2 linked regions of the Caenorhabditis elegans genome follow. The protein of the gene in region 1 purifies or fractionates together with the protein of each later gene. This does not show direct contact. Each region holds a gene or a part of one and is shown in the gene's direction. Other genes may lie near its edges.

What was found.
Region 2: the proteins of sams-4 (region 1) and emg-1 fractionate together in Caenorhabditis elegans (co-fractionation; one large-scale study listed by BioGRID). This does not show direct contact.

Annotation. Positions count from the first base shown.
Region 1 is NC_003282.8:5,843,416-5,848,193, reverse strand, and holds sams-4 (putative S-adenosylmethionine synthase 4), read left to right. Parts: upstream 1-1,824; 5' UTR 1,825-1,858; coding exon 1,859-1,930; intron 1,931-2,155; coding exon 2,156-2,216; exon of another isoform or gene 2,217-2,589; coding exon 2,590-2,712; intron 2,713-2,813; coding exon 2,814-3,196; intron 3,197-3,247; coding exon 3,248-3,657; intron 3,658-3,700; coding exon 3,701-3,866; 3' UTR 3,867-4,133; downstream 4,134-4,778. Other genes in the region: C06E7.2 (uncharacterized protein), read right to left, coding at 4,268-4,778. UniProt on the Caenorhabditis elegans protein: Catalyzes the formation of S-adenosylmethionine from methionine and ATP. The reaction comprises two steps that are both catalyzed by the same enzyme: formation of S-adenosylmethionine (AdoMet) and triphosphate, and subsequent hydrolysis of the triphosphate.
Region 2 is NC_003281.10:10,647,878-10,651,708, forward strand, and holds emg-1 (Ribosomal RNA small subunit methyltransferase nep-1), read left to right. Parts: upstream 1-1,641; coding exon 1,642-2,008; intron 2,009-2,345; coding exon 2,346-2,674; 3' UTR 2,675-3,031; downstream 3,032-3,831. Other genes in the region: orc-4 (ORC (Origin Recognition Complex) subunit), read left to right, coding at 301-414, 640-781, 834-936.

The DNA of each region.
Region 1 (4,778 bases):
TTGTCAAAGTCCGCAAACACCGTGAGCAACTGTCACGTACAATGCCCAACACATTACGACACTTGTAAAAACACTTTTTTCCATTTTCTTCATTTTCTATGCAAATTTCTATAAATCTGCTGGCTTTTTTGAATTTTCGTCGCATTTTATTCGAATTTTAGCCGATCCTTAAACTAGAATTTAACAGCTGTCTCACGGATGGCGATAAATGTTCTAGATTAGATCTGTTTCGCTAATTAGAAACTGGAAATATCTGAAAGCTTTCCCCTATCATGAATAGATCGAAATAATCGAGATATGAGATTCCTAGATATCGGAATTAACAAGAAAAGTTACGGAAAAATATCGAATATCGTATTAATTGTTTTTTCTGCTTGATTAGGTTTAAAAAGGCTTTAAAATCCGTTTTTTTCAGTGAAAAATCACTGTTCTATTTGAGATATAATTTATTTTTCTATTTAACCCACGTGTTTGTTAAATACGATTAAACATTTTGGAAGTAGTTTCATCATTCTTACAGTTTCTCGATAATTGAGCAAAACACCATGACAAAAAGCAAGTGAGACTACAAACTTAAAAGTACAAGGCCAATTCTTATTTACCAAGTTGCTATTTGTTCTAAATTAGAACCTGTTTTCTTGATTCCTTTGCTTTTTAAAGTTTACATTACTGATAATGGCTACTATAATCCGTTCCTAAAGTCTAGAGTATTTGCTTTTTTCATGTTGTGGAAACTGAGCTTCTGCGCTTTTACAAAAGGGCAAAGTCTATTGATTTTCTGCAAATTGAATAGTTTCATGATCATATATCCATTAGCACAATTACACTGTTAGAGGAAATAAAAACAAATATGAATTTGAGGAGAGCGATGAAAATCGTATGATCAAACATAAAAAAGTATGTCAAAGTTTTGCAATAACTTTGTTCAGGCCGATTTTGCCCTCTCGACAGCTTTTTTTCTTGCAAACGATGTTCTGCACAATAGTATAGGCTGGGAATGATCTTGTTGCAATAATAATACTTTTAAAAAGAATTGAGTAAAAACGTGATAACATAGTGAACTCGGCTATATCCACACGTGAAAACGTGAAATTTTATCAAAATTTCTCGGAGTGCATAACATTAAAAAAAACATTGACCGTTTCATCGTCGAAGAGTGTAAGTGAGTTGTCTTTATCTGCTGAAGCTTTCAATAAGGTTCAGCGAGACTTCAATTCCGAAGATTTTTTGTCCGTGTTCCCGGTTCATCTGTACAATCTTCGAACGCATATTTCGAAAGTTTTAGACATTTATTTTTCTAGATTGTAAACGTCGCCTGTCTTGTTCTCTAAGACTTTTATATATTTTTCCTTATCTCGATTTATGTTCTTCAAAAATATGACAGTAAAACTTCCTCAGTGTTCTTATTTCTAAACATCGTATATTTATATAAATATTATTGTGGTGTTTCAAATAACACGTGTTTCATAATTCCTCATCCTTAGATAACGGTTTGCCCTTAGAATTGTTTTGATCCTTCTTTTTTCGAAAATTCTCGCTCCCTTTTTCTCTAAATCTCTGTAGTTTTCTGATGATCTAGGTTCAACCTTCATGGTATAAAAGTAGAGCTTTCCGGGCTAATATTCACACTTGTCTCGCAAAAAAATTGTGTTTTATTGCAATCTAAAAAACGCCCTCAAAACTATACTTTAGAGCAACGTGTTTCCAACAAGACGCAGAGTATTGTGTCTCTCTTTGTTGCGTGGCGCTCCGCCCTCTATTCAACCCACCTCCGCTTCCTCGCTTTCCTTTATTTATTTGAGCTAAATATCATCGCTCTTTCAGACGGACGCTTTCAAACATCCATCAACGAAATAAAATGCCGCAACACAAGTTCCTTTTCACCTCCGAATCTGTCTCCGAGGGGCATCCCGACAAGATGTGTGACCAAGTAAGTTATATTTGATAAGAAATCGTCTTTTCCAGATAAACAAATCCATCAAATTTTTTGATTGGAAATACGCTACTGTTGAAAAAAAAAATCTGTCAAGTTCGTAAAAAGTTAGTTATGGGACAAAATGTGTATAGTTTCAAACAAAACGTTATCTCCGAAGCGTAGAAAATTGGCCCACGTGCTCGAAAGCAGCTGTCTATCATTCTCATGTTTGTTTTTCAGATCTCGGACGCTGTTCTTGACGCTCATCTGGCTCAAGACCCTCACGCTAAGGTTGCTTGTGGTGAGTGATTCAGGACTTTTGGATATCCTCCAACGAAATGTCAACAACAACATGGAGCTGCGATGAGCAAAAGTCCCAATTATTATCCGTACAACATTCAGAGATTCGGCGATATGGAAGACAGGCGGTCAGATTCAATACACTCGCGTCGTGTTAACCTCAGAATTAACATGATATTGATATTTGTGTTGTGAATTTGATTTGCAGAAGGATCAACAGTGAACTCGTACCTATCACTGTGGTTCTTTTGCATTTCGCCTATTCATGTCTCTGATTTCAGGCTCTACGGGTGTTGGATGATGCGGGAAACGGGGCTGAAGCTTATCGCAACAATATGTTTCTTTACCTGTTACAACGGTTACTTTGATTACAGAAACGGTGACTAAAACGGGTATGATCATGTTGTGCGGTGAGATCACCTCGAAAGCTGTCGTCGACTACCAGGTTCTCGTCCGAAACGTCATTAAGAAAATTGGATACGATGATTCCTCGAAAGGTATGAAGAATATAATTTCGTTTCTACACTATTGGCTCATCACATTGTGTCAGGAATCTCATTTTCTTGGTTTATTGATTAAATACAGTATTCATTTTCAGGATTCGATTACAAGACATGCAATGTTCTTGTTGCACTCGAACAACAATCACCTGAAATCGCTGCTGGAGTCCACGTGGACAAGGATAGTGACGATGTCGGAGCCGGAGATCAAGGAATTATGTTTGGATATGCTACTGATGAAACCGAAGAAGCGATGCCATTGACTCTTCTCTTGTCTCACAAGCTGAACCGGAAGCTTCACGAGCTCCGTAGATCTGGAGAGCTCGAATGGGTTCGTCCGGACTCGAAGACCCAAGTCACAATCGAATATGCTTCGGAAGGAGGAGCATGTGTCCCACTACGCGTCCACACTGTTGTTATCTCCACCCAACATTCTCCAGATATCAGTCTCGATGATTTGAGAAAGGAACTCATCGAAAAGGTAATTAAAAATATTAATAAAAATACAGCTATATTTATTGTTCGGTTTTAGGTTATCAAAGCTGTAATTCCTGCCAATCTCATCGACGACAAGACCATCTATCATCTCAATCCATGTGGATCATTCATTATTGGAGGACCAATGGGAGATGCTGGACTTACTGGACGTAAGATCATCGTTGATACCTACGGAGGATGGGGAGCTCACGGAGGAGGTGCTTTCTCTGGAAAGGACCCAACCAAAGTCGATCGTTCTGCCGCATATGCTGCTCGTTGGGTTGCCAAGTCACTTGTCAAAGCTGGACTTTGCCGTCGTTGCCTTGTTCAAGTTTCATACGCCATCGGAGTTGCTAAGCCTCTTTCTGTGATGGTCTTTTCATTTGGAACTTCTGCTCTCAGCGAGGAGGATTTATTGACCATTGTGAATGATAACTTCGATCTGAGACCGGGAAAGATTATCAAGTAAGCGTTTTTTTTTATGTTTCACTATTTTTACTGTTTTCAGGAATCTTGACTTGAAGAGACCAATTTACGAGCCAACTGCTGAAAACGGACACTTTGGACACAATAATTTCCCATGGGAGCAGCCTCGAAACCTCAAAATCAGTGCAGATATGCTCGCCAAATCACAAGGACCAGCTCAACCTGACGTAATTGGAATTGCCCATTAAAATTCTGAGATTATTGTAATAATCAACTTGATAAAAGTGCTTGTAAGCCTTCTAGTAATCACATACATTTATTTTGGTTTCATTTTCACTTGTTCCCCTAAATTCCATTAATTCTATTCCCCTGAGCCTCATTTAGATTCAAAATCAGTAGCCCCCACCATCCCGCACACATGATCGCTTTATTCCATAATTATTATTCCATTTCACGTATTTATTACTACAAGTTGATCACGATTTTTCGTAATCAATAAATTTGCTTGATAATTATCCTATTTGTTCATTTGTCAGTCTGCAGAAACCTCAAGAAATCTGAAAACTCAAAAAAAAAATCATTTCCTTTATTAAATTTTTTGCTCAATATATCGACAGAAAGCACCAGGTTTATTAAAAGAGTCTACAATTTAAGTGAAATATTTGCAAAATAAAATGGAAGATATAGAAATTAAAATAAAGTTTGAATTCATCGTTGTTTTACTAGATTTGACCGCTTTTGCATCTGTTGATGTATCATTTGAATGTGAATTTTCAGAATTCTCTTCTCCATTTTCAGATGTCATATTGACTTCTCGTGTTTTTAATTCTCCAACATCTTTCTCTCCATCGACAGCTTCTTCATCTGATTTTAATTCTTTTATTATTTCATTTAATTCTTTTTCTGCTTTTTCTTCTTCTTCTTTTGATATTTCATCAACTGGAATTTCATTTGAAATTAATATTTTTTCATTTATTTCTGAAGCTGATGTTGTTCCGACTCCGCCCATTTCATAACTGAAAAAGGATTTCGATGGAGAATATGCTTCTTTTGGTTTGAATGATGTTGCAGAAGATGGAGTTACGGAAGATTCGGATGGTTTTTTAGTTGGAGATGGTGTAGACGCTTTGTGCTTCTGATTGAATTGCTCATTGAGTTTT
Region 2 (3,831 bases), on another chromosome or scaffold:
TTGAAATTCCGCAAAGAATTAAAAATTCTGATTTCAAATCTGGAAATTGAGCTGATAAAGTAATTTTTTACCTTTTTTTTTCGGAACAAATTTCAAATTTTAAACAACTTTAAAATGTAAAAAATCATGCAAAAATCGTGATTTTCAATCAAAACCTATTTTAATCTTTACAGCTTTTGAAATTTTTCTGAAAAATTAAAAAAATCCGGTAAAATCTAGAAAAAACTAATTATATACTGTTTTTTCGGCTCAAAAATTTAATAATTCCAGTGAAATTCTAAAAATTTTTCAAATTTTCAGATCAAACAGTTCGAGCACAATGCGTTTTTCTTTGTGTCTGGAGACTTGTGCAGAATAAAGAGTCAGATGGACCACTTTTGGCGCCAAAAACTTCGTATCGAAACGTTTTTCTAGGTATTTTTTAAAATTTATCTCGGAATTTTCGATTTTTCGAATTTTTAAAAATTGAAAAACGAAAAATTTTTCGATTTTTTGAATTTCCGAAAAATTAAGAAAATGTTCAGAAAATTAACCATAAAATATGATTTTTTTTAAATCTAATTTTCGATTATATTGATGAGAAAAAACATGAAAATTTTAAGCTTATTTTTTAAAAATCTATTTTCTCCGTAATTTCAGAATTCAAAAAACTCGTTAATCAACACTATCCTCCACTGAACGTGAGCAGTGATGTCTACGTATTCCGAGAATTGGATCATCTCGTTAAAATGGGAATTTTGAAGGCAGACGAGAGCACAAATGTGACAAATACCTCGTTTCGGTGGGTTTTTTTTTCAGCTGAAAAATTCACCTCAAATCCTCTTTTTTTTCAGAAAAGTTTGGCTTCATATCAATGATAAAATTGTGGAGGACTCGATCTCGAAGTTGCAGCTCCCGCGAGTTGTTTCCGACTTTTTTATGACTATTTTGAAGTAATTTTGATATTTTTTGTACTATTTGCAATGAAGATTGATCTCGATATTTATATTTTTGTTGAGTTTTTTTTTCTGTGAGAATTATTTTCGGTTTAAAAACCATCATATTATTTTTTGAACTTGTTTTATAAAAATCTTTACAGGAGCTTCAAAAATCGAAAAAATAAAATAAAACCATTTTTCGTTAATTCAAAAATCCCGAAATAAAATATTTAGTTAAATTTTCATGTTTTAGGGGAAATTCGACAAAAAAAGGAACTCACTGAAATTTTTGAAAAACCGTTCAAATTTACAAATTTTTTCGTTTTTGAGTTTTTGAGTTTTTTGATTTTCGACTTACATTTTCTCCGCAGAAATTTTTCAGTGTTTTTGACGAAAAAATATCGAAAAACGAAAAAAGAAGTGAAAACTTTTAATTTATCAAAAATTATGTATATTCCTATATTGATAGATATGGAAAATTAGAAATTTTTCCAAAAGTCGAAAAACTCAATTTTATTTCCAAAAAAGCGGCATTTTTTCGAAAATTTTACAGAACGACCTATCGTTGTTCCCACAGCTTTTATTTAAAATTTGTGCTAAACTATAAAAAATCACAATATTATTCAGAAAATAATTTTTTTTTCATCAGAATTATTGAAAATTCGATTTTTGGTCCTAAAAAAATTACTTTATGACAAAAAAAATTAATTTCTCCGAATTTCAGATGTCCCACGAGTACGATACAGTTGCACCGCCAAATGCGAAGCGCATGAAGACGGATAATCAATTGGAGGACAAGAAGATTTTGTACGTTGTACTGGAAGGATGTAGTCTTGAAACTGCAAAAGTCGGTGGAGAATACGCAATTTTGAGCAGTGATAAACACGCGAATTTTCTGAGAAAACAGAAAAAAGATCCGGCTGATTATCGGCCAGATATCCTACATCAATGCTTGTTGAATCTACTTGATAGTCCGCTTAACAGAGCCGGAAAGCTTCGTGTCTTCTTTAGAACGAGCAAGAATGTGCTCGTTGATGTCTCACCACAGTGCAGAATTCCAAGAACTTTTGATCGATTCTGTGGACTTATGGGTGAGTTTTTGGTTTATTGGAAATTGAAAAAAATATATTTTGAAGTGTTTTTGTATGTAAAATAAGAAAAAAGACAATTTTTCGAGTTTTTTAAAAATTATTTTTTATCAAATTTAAACATAAATTTTTAAAAATACCCTTTTCCTTTTAAAAATACCCGGATTCAAAATACCCCAAAATAGTCTGAAAATCAAAAAAAAATTCACAAAAAAGAGCACAAAAATCCAATTTTCAAAAACATGCTTTAAAATACTTTTTATTGGATTTTTTGTGACTTTTCTTGCAATTAGGTATTTTTATGCAAAATCCCCCTATTTTCTATTTTCCATATTTTCAGTCCAACTCCTGCACAAACTCTCCATTCGAGCCGCCGAAACCACTCAAAAGCTGATGTCAGTAGTGAAGAATCCAGTGTCGAACCATCTTCCAGTGGGATCCCGTAAGATGCTCATGTCGTTCAATGTACCTGAGCTAACAATGGCTAATAAGCTTGTTGCACCGGAAACCGACGAGCCTCTGGTCCTTATTATCGGTGGAATTGCTCGTGGAAAGATCGTCGTCGATTACAACGATTCTGAGACCAAGATCAGCAATTATCCATTGAGTGCAGCGTTGACTTGTGCCAAAGTGACCAGTGGACTTGAGGAGATTTGGGGAATTATTTAATTGATTTTTTGCAGTTTTTTCATTTTATTGTTGTCTGTTTTTGTTACTATCTTCATCTTATAAAGTGCAAAATCACTTTTTTTTTTCGAAAAAAAATGCCGTTTTTTTGTAAATTTCAATGTCTATTTCTTACTTTTACACTGAAATTGTTTTAAAAAAATCAAATATTCTAAAAACCCAAAAAATTAGTTTTTTCTTTGATTTTCCTTTCGTAGAGTTCTCTTTTTTTTTTATTTTTTCAGTTTTATTAGGTAGTAATTTAAAACGTTTTAAAATTTTACAATATTTGGCATAAAATTCGGCAAAAACTTTTTTTTTTCAGAAAAATTCTAAATAAAAAAGTCCAGGAGCCTAACTTTTCAGTTTTTACCAATTTTTCAGACAAAATCGAAGAATAATCGTGAAAAATGCGATTTTTTCGCTAAAAATACGGTAGCTGGTATCGAAGCGACAATTTTTTTAGTTGCAGAAGGATGTGCGCCTTTAAAGAGTACTGTAGTTTTAAACTTTCGTTGTTGCGGAATTTTTATTGATTTTTTGTAGTTTTTCGATAAATTATCGATTAAAAAAAAAAGATAAACTCAAATAAAAAATTAAAAAATACAAGAAAACTGTAAAATATTATAAATTTCAACATAACTGGAGAAAAACTGTAAAAAAATTTGAAAAAAAAAAACAATTTTCATATTTTCTCTCCAGTTCTGATAGAATTTCTGACATTTTAAACTTTTTTTTTTACTTTTTATCATAAAAACTATGGCAAATTAAGGAAAATTCTGCAGAAATGAAATTTGGAAATTACAGTACTCTTTAAAGGCGCACAATATTTGGCATAAAAAATCTTCGCTTCGAGACCAGGTACAGTAGTTTTGACACCGAAAACGGGCCATTTTTTCAAAAAATAAATGAAAATTAAGACTTAAAATTCATTTTTGTTCCGAAAAATGTACTTTTTTTCAGTTAAATATCATTAAAAATTATTAAAATTTCTTAAATTAATTTTTTTATTTTATCCGAAAAATTAAAAAAAAAGAAAATTTTCATTTATTTCTCGATAATCAGAAAAAATCACAGTGACGCAAATAAATTCTAAGAAATCACCTCATTAATCCGGACCACCTGGAAGTAATTTATGATAGAAGATGGGCTCACGCAAT